3 linked regions of the Ovis aries genome follow. The protein of the gene in region 1 interacts with the protein of each later gene in a pairwise test. Links are inferred from orthologs where the notes say so. Each region holds a gene or a part of one and is shown in the gene's direction. Other genes may lie near its edges. The genes, in order: UBXN11, RHOBTB3 and EIF4E.

Region 1 (4,291 bases):
ACAATTCTGGGTTAGAATCCACTTTTCTGCTTTCTACCTGCACAGTCTTGAGCAAGTCACGTCACTTCTCTGAGCTTCAGTTTTCTCATCTCTAAATCTCATAATTTTGGCATCTGGCACTTGGAAGATGCTCATTAATTGGTAGGTCCTTTCAGTTTCCAATTGGTGAGTAAAGAATGCCTCAAGGAGCCTGCCCTCCCCTAAAAGCAGTAGGTTAGAGAGTCAAATGGAAAATATTAATAAGTGCAGTTGGAGACATGCAGATAAAGGGCTTTGGTAGTTGAGCCAAGGTATAAGGAAGTGGGTGCCGGAAATCATAAGACACCCAGATCATCACAGCTGGATGACTGTGAGATAATGATAACAAAAGTTAAAAGCAGGAAGTGTTTTGAAAACTTACTCTGTATGGGTATTGTGATAGTTATTCAGTACGTATTGTCTCATTTAATTCTCATGGCAGCTCTGTGGGGTGGGTTTGTGGTGTTTGTTCAGTCACTGTCATATCTGATTCTTTGGGACCCCATGGACTGCAGCACACCAGGCTTTCCTGTCCTTCACTGTCTCCTGGAGTTTGCTCAAACTCATGTCCAGTGAGTCAGTGATGCCATCCAACCATCTCATCCTCTGTTGCCCTCAATCTTTCCCAGCATCAGGGTCTTTTCCCACAAGTCTAGTTTTCACATCAGGTGGCCAAACTATTGGAACTTCACCGTGAGCTTTTCCAATGAATATTCAGAGTTGATTTCCTCTAGGATTGACTGGTTTGATGTTATTCCCATTTAACAAAAGAAATTAAGGTAACTTGCTCAAGGACACACACACAGCCTGGGACTCCTGGTGCCAAAGACCATGCTCTTAACAAAACTACCTCTAGTTGCTCTAATCCAACAGGTTGTTTTTCATGTGAGGCTCAGGAAGGGGAAGGGTCTCACCCAAAGTCACTCTAAGTATCTTACCCAATGGCAGCAGTCTTACTCGAATTTTTACATAAAGGAAATAGAATCAGAGCGTCTCTTCGGGGCGCCAAGAAATTAGCAGAGAAATGCAGATTTAAGAAACATTTATTAAGTACTTGTATCATTTCAATTCATGCTCAAAAGAACTTCCCTTTAGTACTGTAGTGATCAGATGGAAAAACAAGCTCACCAGGATACATGTAATTTCTCCCAAAATCAATTTAATAAAACAGTGGCATGGTCAGGACTGCACATTCAGGTCTAGAGGCTTCCAGCAGCTTCGTGAACCTAATCCCAGTTCTCCGCTTTCTGTGCCTTGGAGTAATAGGAAAGGACTCTCAAATTGCCCTAAACCCAGAGTCCGCTCAGAGCGGCCGGTTTTGGGATTTGCAGTCTTCCCCGCGATGAGTTTAGACTTCGTGGGCCAATAGAATTCGAGTAGAGACAGCTGTACCCGCCTCCGCTGCCTCCTGGTTGCTCAGGGACTCCTCACGGATTAGCCAATGAGAAGCACAAGGGTCCTGGTTGCCTGGGAAACCGTGTGACAACAAGATGGCGGCGCCGCGGGTGGTTCTGCGGCTTGCGTGGTGAGTTACAGAAAGGCCTCAGACCTTTCTCCTCGTGGAGTCCCTCTCACATAGGCTGGGGCCCTCACCGCGAGAGCCTCGAGGATATGCGAGCCCCACATCCCGGCCCCTCCAGTAGACTCTCCGCGCCTGGGAGCAGATTCAGGCCGCTGCCTACCACGGCTACGGGCGGAGGCGGGGGGTTGGCGACGCAGCTTCCAGGGAGGGTCTGGTGGTGGAAGTCGGTGGTGAGCGCTTCCAGCTGAGATTTAGGGAATGAAGGTGTGCAGCCTGCTGGCCCGTGTCGGCGCTGGCGAGCACTGGGACCTGTTGCAAGACCAATTTGACTCTCAAAGCTTGAGTCTGAAGAAGCAGGCAGTCTAACCTTTAGCCGCCTCTGGCTTGAGGAGGAAGACACAGTCTCCCGCCCCAAGAAAAAACGCAAAGTGAAGGGAATAGACGTGGCTTTGCCCCCAGGGTTCCCAATCTGAGGGAGGAGACACAGCCCTTCTTCGCTCAAGAAGTCCCCAGGCTGAAGGAAAGGAATAGCCTTTGTCCTCAGGGGTCTCCTATGATCACATGGGAAAATTGATCTGGAGACTGTTGGATTGGCCTGGAGTGAGATTGGAAGCAGGGAAGTCGGTTTGGGGCCATTGTAACAGCCCCAAAGAAGGGCAGTGAGAGTCCCACTAGGATGGCCAGCAGGGGGCCACGGGAGGAGGAGCTATGTGTGAGAAACGTGCAGGGTTTACCCTGCAGGATTCCGGAACTGCAGGGATTAGAGGAGAAAAAGGAGGGAAATTTTTTGTGTTTGGATAATGAGGTCCTCTTCAGAAAGGGGAAGCGGGAGGAGCTTATTTCGAGAGATATTTGGTTTGGTTTGGAGACCAGGTCCTTTTTTTTCCCCCTATAATAGCTTTATTGAGATACAATACACATACTAGATACTTCACCTCTTTAAAATGTAAACTTCAGTTGTTTTTAGTATATTCACAGAGTTGTGCAGTCGTAACTACAATCAAATTTGAGAACATTTTCACCAGCCCCAAGGAAACCCTGTACCTTTAGCATCTCCCTCTCCCCAGCTCTTCCTAACACCTCCAGCCTTAGGCAACCATTAATCTATCTTGTCTCTATAGATTTACCCATTCTGGACTGAATCCTAACAGTTGGTGGTTTTTTGTGACTGATTTCTTTACCTTAGCATGTTTTCAAGGTCCATTGACACTGTGGTGTGTATTGCATTTCTTTCTTTTTTTTTGCCAAATAATATTTCATTGTAAGTGAAGTCGCTCAGTCGTGTCCGACTATTTGCGACCCCGTGGACTGTAGCCCATCAAGCTCCTCTGTCCACGGGATTCTCCAGGCAAGAATACTGGAGTGGGGTGCCATTTCCTTCTCCAGGGGACATTCCGGACCCAGGGATCGAACCCAGGTCTCCCTCATTGCAGGCAGACGCTTTAACCTCTGAGCCACCAGAGAAGGAAGGATATACTATATTTGTTTATCCACTTATTGGTTGATGAACATTTGGGTTGTTTCCAGTTTTGGGCTATTTACAAGTAATGCTACTTATGAACAGATACACAGGTTTCTGTGGATGTGAGTTTTCATTTCTCTTGGGTGTACACCTAGGCATGGAATTGCTGGGCCCTAAGATAACTGTTGAACCTTTAGTTCAGTTCAGTTCAGTCGCTCAGTCGTGTCCGACTCTTTGTAACCCCATGAATTGCAGCATGCCAGGGCTCCTTGTCCATCGCCAACTCCTGGAGTTCACTCAAACTCAGGTCCATCGAGTCGGTGATGCCATCCAGCCATCTCATCCTCTGTCGTCCCCTTCTCCTCCTACCCCTAATGCCTCTCAGCATCAGAGCCTTTTCCAATGAGTCAACTCTTCCCATGAAGTGGCCAAAGTACTGGAGTTTCAGCTTTAGCGTTATTCCTTCCAAAGAACACCCTGGACTGATCTCCTTTAGAATGGACTGGTTGTCCAAGGGACTCTCAAGAGTCTTCTCCAACACCACAGTTCAAAAGCATCAATTCTTTGGCGCTCAGCTCTTTTCACACTCCAACTCTCACATCCATACATGACCACTGGAAAAACCATAGCCTTGACTAGACAGACCTTAGTTGGCAAAGTAATGTCTCTGCTTTTGAATATACTATCTAGGTTGGTCATAGCTTTTCTTCCAAGGAGCAAGTGTCTTTTAATTTCATGGCTGCAGTCACCATCTGCAGTGATTTTGGAGCCCCACAAAATAAAGTCTCTCACTGTTTCCATTGTTTTCCCATCTATTTGCCATGAAGTGATGGGACCAGTGATGGGACTCCGTCTAGTCAAGGCTATGGTTTTTCCTGTGGTCATGTATGGATGTGAGAGTTGGACTGTGAAGAAAGCTGAGTGCCAAAGAATTGATGCTTTTGAACTGTGTTGTTGGAGAAGACTCTTGAGAGTCCCTTGGACTGCAAGGAGATCCAACCAGTCCATTCTGAAGGAGATCAGCCCTGGGATTTCTCTGGAAGGAATGATGCTAAAGCTGAAGCTCCAGTACTATGGCCACCTCATGCGAAGAGTTGACTCATTGGAAAAGACTCTGATGGTGGGAGGGATTGGGGGCAGGAGGAGAAGGGGATGACAGAGGATGAGATGGCTGGATGGCATCACTGACTTGATGGACATGAGTCTGAGTGAACTCCGGGAGTTGGTGATGGACAGGGAGGCCTGGTGTGCTGCGATTCATGTGGCCGCAAAGAGTCGGACATGAATGA
Region 2 (4,292 bases), on another chromosome or scaffold:
ATTGAACTCCAAATTTTCCTCTTCCAGAAGCCCCCTTAAAACTAGCATTCTGCTTTCTAAGAGTCTAACTACCTGAGATATCTCATGTAAGTGGAATAATGCAGTCTTTGTCTTTCTATGACTAGCTTATTGCCCTCAAGATTCATTCATGTTGCAACATGTGACAGGATTTCCCTCTTTTCTTAGACAGAATACTATTTCTATGTATATACCACATTTTCTGTATCTGTTCAACCATTCCGGTGTCTTTGCTTTCGACTTGGGGTTACTGGTGGTGATTGATGACCCATGAGAAAAGATGATCTTGTACTATTTTGGGGTGCTTCTAGAGACTAAAAGAGAAACTATACTGGGTGCAAAGGGAAATACGATTTTTAAACATCAGTGCCTTAGGTAAAGAATGCCCCCCATTATACTCTATCTGGGCACGAGAAACTATTAAACCCCTTTCAACTGAGCAACCGGGGCCCACAATAAAAAGCTGCTCACATTCCAAACGCCTCTCACCCTAGGGTTTTAACTGCCCTACTCAGCACCTCCTGTTTCATAGCCTGAAAATAGTTCTGTTGAGAAAAGAAACAGCAACATTTTAAAGCAGGGCAAAATAAATAAAGGGATAAACAAGAACTCTTTCAACACGGAGCACTTGCGAGAATTTTCATGTTTATGGAGAGGCAGAGCCCCAGAGTAAACTCTGGCTCCTCTTCGCAATGGATTCCAGTGTTCACTTGCAACGAGGCAGTTTGAGGCCCTTTGGGGACACTCACAGCCTTTAGTTCAAGGCGTTATCATGAAAGAATCTAAAGTATCCTTGCATTAGCATGATCGTTATTTTTCCAGCTGGTCTGAGGAGCTATTATTAAACATGTAGCCATAATGCGTACCGAAAAATCCCCCACGTAAGCTCGCATTTGGTCTGTAAACACGTTAAACAACCTCACGCGTAACGACTTCCTACAGCTATCACAATCAGAACCTCAACACTTAAAACAAAACAAAACAAAATCCTTCGGCTTTTGGTCAAAAAAGATGCCAAATATAGCTTGAAGTAGTAAATAATCCTCCCGAGAAGCGACGTTCGCGAATTAATTGGTGCGTGAACAAAGAACCCTTTCTGCACCACGATGAATGTTGCCTTTCTTTTTTTTTCTCTCGCAAGTATGATTGTAGAAAACAGCTGTACTACATGTTGACAAATGACCAAGCGGCAGACTTGGTAAAAACACTTTTGGTCAAGGCCAAGAAGAGGGTAGAAAAAAAGGGGGGGCTGCTGGAGCGGCCGGGGGCTGGATTCCCTGGCTTCCCTTACCCTTTTTTACCCCCTAGTCTTTAGGGAGCAGGGGCCGCAACCGCCCCATCACCACACCCCGCCCCCCACCCCCTTTCCCCCGCTCGGCTCCGGTTACAGCCTTTCGAGTTGAACAAACTTGCTGCAGGCGGATTGGTGACCGGGAGCTCTCGGGCCGGGGCGTCGTATTTATTAATTTATATTCCGCGGCGCCCCGCGCAGGCCGTTCCTTTGTATCCCGCCCGCCGCCGCCGCCGCTGCCCCGGCTCGGGGGGGAGCCTCAGCGGGCAGCGAGGCCCCCGCGTCCGCCCGAGGACACCCCCCTCTCCAAGGCCGGCACGTGCGGCTGCCGCCCGGCCCGCAGAGGGGGGCGGAGGCCCGGCTTTCCCCCACCCGCCGCTGAGCCAGAAGCAGGAGGCGCGGCGGCGGGCCGCCCGGCCGGGGGAGCGCGGCGCCCGGCGAGTCTCCGCGGCGGCGGCGGGGGCCCGGCAGCGGGGACGGCGGGGCCCCCCGCCCCGGGGATGCGCCCCGGCACTTCCTGACTGGCTGGCGGCGCGCGCGCGGCCCCCGGAGCTCGCTCGCCCGCCCGCTCTGCGTCGGCCGCGCCGCGCGGGAGGCGCGCGAGGAGGGGGAGACGCGGCCCGGGATGAGCTGACTGCTGGGGGGCGCGCGTGGTGGTGGCGGGGGGCGGAAACCACGCCGCCGCCTGGCCCCCCGCAGGCCGCGAGGAGCCGACCTTTCTCCGCGCCGCCGCCCGGGCCCGGGGGACTGGAGATCATGTACGTACGCGTCGCGGGCCCGCTCTGGTCTCCAGCTCCGGCGCGTGCCGTGCGCCCCACCCCGGGCCCGGGGGGCTCTCGCGCGCCCGTCCTCGCCGCGCGCTGCCCCCCGCGCTCACCACGCGCCTCTTCTCCCCCTGGTCTCGGCCGCCTTAGGTCCATTCACATCGTGGCGCTGGGGAACGAGGGGGACGCGTTCCACCAGGACAGCCGGCCGTCGGGGCTCATCCGCGCCTACCTGGGGAGAAGCCCGCTGGTCTCCGGGGACGAGAGCAGCTTGTTGCTGAGCGCGAGCGGCGCGGCCGCGCGGCCCGTGTTCACCGAGTATCAGGCCAGCGCGTTTGGGAACGTCAAGCTGGTGGTCCACGACTGTCCCGTCTGGGTAAGGGGGCTGACGGAGCTTTCCTTTCCTTTTCTTTCTTTTCTCCCCCCCCCCCCCCCCCCATTTCATGAATGTCAACGTCCGGGTCACCGGGGGAGAGTTTTCTTTTCTTTTTTTTTTACATTTTGGGGAAAGTCTTTGGTCCTTCGTTTCAGGGGGCAGGGGCCAGCCTAATCAAAGAACACTCTTAGAAGGCAAAAAAGAAAAAAGAAAAAAAAAAAAAAGCTCCAGTGAGAATATGAAGCACTTAGGCGTACGTTTCACGATTGTGGGTTGTCTCTTGGTTAAGACAGCTAACCCTTAAATGTCCCAACCCCAAGGGACGCGGGTCATTAAGTTTCACCAGCAGAGAGCAGTGGGTTTTTTTTTTTTTTTTCTTCTTCTTGCCTATCCTGTGTGGGGGATATAGTAATATGAGTGTTCTAAAAATAAAGATCTCTGAAAGCTCAACAGAGCCAAAATACATTTCACTGGGGGCCCGCTCAGAAATAGGACCCCTGGAAAGGAGGGGGAAAGTCAGGGACTGAGAATTAAATTTAAACAACTCGTTTATAGCACTTTGAAAAAATTTTTAATTAGTTTTTAATTTTAATAGTGCAGATGTTCCTGATATATTTAGCCATTTCTTTTTCCTGACCCGTAAATCAGAAATATTACTGATACTATTTTGGGACTTGAAAAAAGCTTTAAAATTTGCGATGATTAGAAGAAATTGTAATGAAGTTGATAAATGCTAGTCTAATTCTTGAGTGATAAAAGAAGAAAGAAATCTACATCCTGATGGTATAAATGTTTTTCAGTACGCAGTAGCATCCAGAATGTTTTCATGTAATCTTATTTCAAAGTTTCTGAGTCTTTACTAGTATAGAATCTACATTGCAGCTAAGTGTTATATTTTATAACAGAAGAAGGTTTAAGGTCTGAAAAAAAATAGAGATTATCTTTATGTGAGGTTTACATTTAAACCACAGTTTAAGAAAAGTGAATTAGGGACTATAGGCTACACCTATACAAAGACAGGATACACCTTTCCAAAGAAATGTATAAAATGTCTGTAAAAACATTTCTTATGCGGATTTCCATATTACAGAAAGAAAAGATCACTTGTCCAAATAAATTTTCAGCTGAAAAGTAAATTTATGTTAGTAGACTAAAATAAATGAAAAACAGGCCTTTTCAGTCTAACAGGGAGGCTATTAAACTCCTAATTACGACATTGATGATGCTGATCATAAGAAGCATGGGTAGAGAACTTACTGGCTGGAGTCCATGCAAACAAATGAAACCCTTCTTCCCCTTTGATCATTTCATTGTGAAAAATCATACAATCTAAAAACTTACTGGGTCTACACTCAGTTGGACAAATATTGAGTGAATAGAGTAAATAAATGGAGGGGAAATAAAATAAGCTGAATTAGGATGTTAGGATAACCTTTCCTGTTTTTTTTGTTTTGTTTTGTTTTTTTGAGCAGTTAACTCCTGTTGATGTTATTATTAATAATTTAACAAAAAGCAGTGCTTGTGATCCCATGGATTGTACTAAATGAAATCTTCCAAATCAGTTAAAATTAACCTTTGTCGTCTAGATTTTTGATTGTTATGTTTTATTATTCTAATCACCTTTGTTTGGTTAACTCTGGCCCTTTTTAAGGCATTGAGTTTGTATGTAACCAGGCACAGTTTTCTGGGTTATAATGGTCTTCAGGCATAGTAGAATGTGTTTGTAGAGCTACTCTTTAAAAGATGCTTTTCTTCTCTAGGTTGTAAGTAAAAGCCCGTTGGAGGTATGAAAGTTGATTGTATTCATCAGCTGGTATTTGACATGTACTGAATCAGAATATTA
Region 3 (3,592 bases), on another chromosome or scaffold:
AGTGGATTTTTATGCCATAATTGAAAGGTAAACCCTTAAGCTTTCTGTCTTCGTCACTTAGTTTCTCCCTTTTGGGGGACAAATTTAATGAAACAGCTATTGAGGTTTTTTTTTTTTTTTTTTTTTTAATCTAGTCTTGTCTGTAGCATTAGGATTCTATTTAAGTGTGCCATTAACAGATTCTAATTGTAAACTTAGTAAGAGACCTTAGAGCATGATTAAGGAGAAAGAAGACAGCAGAAAGAATCATTGGTCTTTTCTACTTTGAACGCCATTGAAGAATGTCCCTTCCACACTAGACATTAACTGTATAGAAGTGGTGGTTCTAATTCTGTAGTTACTGTTAGTATCCATGTCTCTCTTCTGGCCTAGTGGAATCTTGTCAGTGATAATCTAGTTTGGAAAGAGTTACTACTAGATAGAATAACCCAACAAGCTGTATGCTGTCTTAATGCTCTCTCATTCAAATTGGATTTGTTGTTAAACTGTGAGATGTCATCCAGAGAATCCTTGACTCTTTCTTAAAACTCTACTTGAAATACTCACAGACTGGGTTAAAATAGCAGTAAGAAAATCTTAATAAGGGAAATAACCATCCGTGTGGTATTATTGCTAGTTGTATAAGATCATCACTTTGGATCCAATCTAGCATTCTGCCTTCAGGCTAGTGGAATACCTAATTCATCCCAAATGTTAATCTGTTACATTGCTATTTGGGAAATAGTTTAGAAATACACATTCTGTGGTTCCAGCCTGTATTTAAGGAATTAAAATTCTAAGAAGTAGGATGTAGAACTATTCTGTCTTTAAAAGTTCCCCCAAAGATTATTGTGCTTGCTGACTTAAACTAGTAATAGTGTGTAGTGTTTGGGGACTGTTGATCTTTTCCGCTCTTTGGTACTTTCACAGATAATAGTAATGTTGACTTAGTTTAGTCATGCAATCCTGATGATCAGGGAGTTTTGTCTTACTTTCTCTAGATTTGTCTTTTTGTGTGTTTAAAATGGCTTATTAGCCTCCTGGATTCTTTCATTTACTTAAAGGCATCTGGTACCTCTCTTCTCAGTTTCTTGTAATAATATGTATATATTAAGTTAACTAATGCACCAAAATTGTCAGGATAAAATCACTGAAGATATTTCTAAAAATCATTAGATGTTGATTCTTAAAGCTGACTGTTATTAAGATCTGTTTGGTCTGTTTCAGAAATTGACTCCATAGTGGGAAAAAAGTAAATGAGTTTTTATCTTGTTTATTTTTATCATATTCTCTGAATGTACATATAAACACCTAAACTCTACACTACATTTTCTATGTTTATAATTGTTCTTTTCTTTTACCTAGTCTGTACAACCATATCCAGTTGTCTAGTAATTTAATGCCTGGCTGTGACTACTCACTTTTTAAGGTATGCTTAATTGGTGACTTCATATATTTTTTATAAGACTGGACCATTCAGGTATTCATTAAAATCTTACCATGAACTTAGAAATAGTTAATGTTGTGATGCTTGGAGAATAATTGTATTAGCTTTACCATATTTTAGCATAAGTATATTTTGGCTTCTTTTAGTATAAATAATTGAAATTAAGTGAGAATTTGGCGGTATGGACACATACTGTGATTGATTTTGAGGAGATCTTTGATTATCCACTCTTATTTCTTCTTTATATACTTGAGTAGACCGAAGTGCAGTTTGTCAGGAGTATGTGCGTCCTTGAGATACTTATATGAGTTTTGTCAGCTGTTAGTGGGTGGGACAGTCATTAGCTCTCTGAAGTGGTATAGCTTTCATATGTATTTTTTAGATGTAGAAATGTGCATGGCTTCTAAAAGGTGTCTGTTACTCAGAACCTCCAAAGTATATTACTTTAGAACCTCCAAATTAAGTCAAACCCCAGATTTGATAGCTATTAAGTGCCCTAGTCAAGGCTCTGTTTTTGCAATCCCATGCCTCTGGCTTTAAGTTTTGTGTGCTTTCGCACTACCTCAATAACAGTTTTATGAGTATAAAGTAAACAATTAACACGGTTGTTGCTTACTGTTTTTAGTCATTATCTTAAGTTAAACTAACAATATTGTCTCATATTGTTGTACCCCTAACCTTGTAGGATGGTATTGAGCCTATGTGGGAAGATGAGAAAAACAAACGAGGAGGACGATGGCTTATTACACTGAACAAACAGCAGAGACGAAGTGACCTCGATCGTTTTTGGCTAGAGACAGTAAGGTTTTAAAATTATAAAGCTGTTTTTGAATACTAAAACTTTGTTGTTGTTGTTCAGTTCAGTCGCGTCCGACTGTATGCGACCCCATGAATCGCAGCACGCCAGGCCTCCCTGTCCATCACCAACTCCCGGAGTTCACTCAAACTCATGTCCATCGAGTCAGTGATACCATCCAGCCATCTCATCCTCTGTCATCCCCTTCTCCTTGTGCTCCCAATCCCTCCCAGCATCAGGGTCTTTTCCAATGAGTCAGCTCTTTGCATGAGGTGGCCAAAGTACTGGAGTTTCAGCTTTAGCATCATTCCTTCCAAAGAAAGCCCAGGGTTGATCTTCAGAATGGATTGGTTGGATCTCCTTGCAGTCCAAGGGACTCTCAAGAGTCTTCTCCAACACCACAGTTCAAAAGCATCAATTCTTCGGCACTCAGCTTTCATCACAGTCCAACTCGCACATCCATACATGACCACAGGAAAAACCATAGCCTTGACTAGATGGACCTTAGTCGGCAAAGTAATGTCTCTGCTCTTGAATATGCTGTCTAGGTTGGTCATAACTTTTCTTCCAAGTTGTTGTTGTTATTCAGTTGCTAAGTTGTTTCTGACTCTGTGACCCCATGAACTACAGCACTCTAGGCTTCCCTGTCCTTCACTATCTCCCATAGTTTGTTCAAACTCATGTCCATTGAGTCAGTGACACCATCCAACCATTTCATCCTCTGTTGCCCTCTTCTCCTCTTGCCTTTAATTTTTCCCATCATCAGGGTCTTCTATAATGAGTCAGCTTTTTGCAGCATGTATCCAAAGTATTGGCGCCTCAGCAGCAGTCCTTTCAGTGAATATTCAGGGTTGATTTCCTTTAGGATTGATTAGCATGATCTCCTTGCTGTCCACAGGACTCTCTTCAAGAATCTTCTGCAGCACCACAAGAGTCTTCTCCAGCACTGCAGTTGGAAAGCATCAATTCTTCGGTGCTCACCCTTCTTTATAGTCCACCTCTAACATCCATACATGACCACTGGAAAAACTATAGCTTTGATTATACGGACCTTTGTCCGCAAAGTGATGTCTCTGCTTTTTAATATGTTGTCTAGGTTTGTCTAGGTTTGTCAGGTTGTCTAGGTTTGCCTAGGTTTGTCTAGGTTTCCCAGGAGAAAGTGTCTTTTAATTTCGTGGCTGCAGTGACCGTCCACAGTGATGATGGAGCCCTAGAAAATGAAATCTGACTCTTGTTTCCCACATTTTCCCCATCTGTTTGCCATGAAGTGATAGGACCAGATATCATTATTTTCGTTTTTCTGAATGTTGAGCTTTAAGCCAGCTTTTTCACTGTCCTCTTTTACCTTCATCAAGAGGCTCTTCCTCTTC

The links.
Region 2: the proteins of UBXN11 (region 1) and RHOBTB3 interact in binary tests that used the Homo sapiens proteins (3 or more experiments, as listed by UniProt). The two-hybrid records come from large-scale screens. The link is inferred for Ovis aries from reciprocal best matches to the Homo sapiens genes UBXN11 and RHOBTB3.
Region 3: the proteins of UBXN11 (region 1) and EIF4E interact in binary tests that used the Homo sapiens proteins (3 or more experiments, as listed by UniProt). The link is inferred for Ovis aries from reciprocal best matches to the Homo sapiens genes UBXN11 and EIF4E.

The regions. Positions count from the first base shown.
Region 1 is NC_056055.1:240,540,746-240,545,036, forward strand, and holds the start of UBXN11 (UBX domain-containing protein 11), read left to right. Parts: upstream 1-1,487; 5' UTR 1,488-1,543; intron 1,544-4,291. UniProt on the Homo sapiens protein: May be involved in the reorganization of actin cytoskeleton mediated by RND1, RND2 and RND3. Promotes RHOA activation mediated by GNA12 and GNA13.
Region 2 is NC_056058.1:92,674,215-92,678,506, forward strand, and holds the start of RHOBTB3 (rho-related BTB domain-containing protein 3), read left to right. Parts: upstream 1-1,414; 5' UTR 1,415-2,065; coding exon 2,066-2,067; intron 2,068-2,075; exon of another isoform or gene 2,076-2,223; coding exon 2,224-2,449; exon of another isoform or gene 2,450-2,454; intron 2,455-4,292. UniProt on the Homo sapiens protein: Rab9-regulated ATPase required for endosome to Golgi transport. Involved in transport vesicle docking at the Golgi complex, possibly by participating in release M6PRBP1/TIP47 from vesicles to permit their efficient docking and fusion at the Golgi.
Region 3 is NC_056059.1:26,272,988-26,276,579, forward strand, and holds part of EIF4E (eukaryotic translation initiation factor 4E), read left to right. Parts: intron 1-1,344; coding exon 1,345-1,408; intron 1,409-2,111; coding exon 2,112-2,225; intron 2,226-3,592. UniProt on the Homo sapiens protein: Acts in the cytoplasm to initiate and regulate protein synthesis and is required in the nucleus for export of a subset of mRNAs from the nucleus to the cytoplasm which promotes processes such as RNA capping, processing and splicing.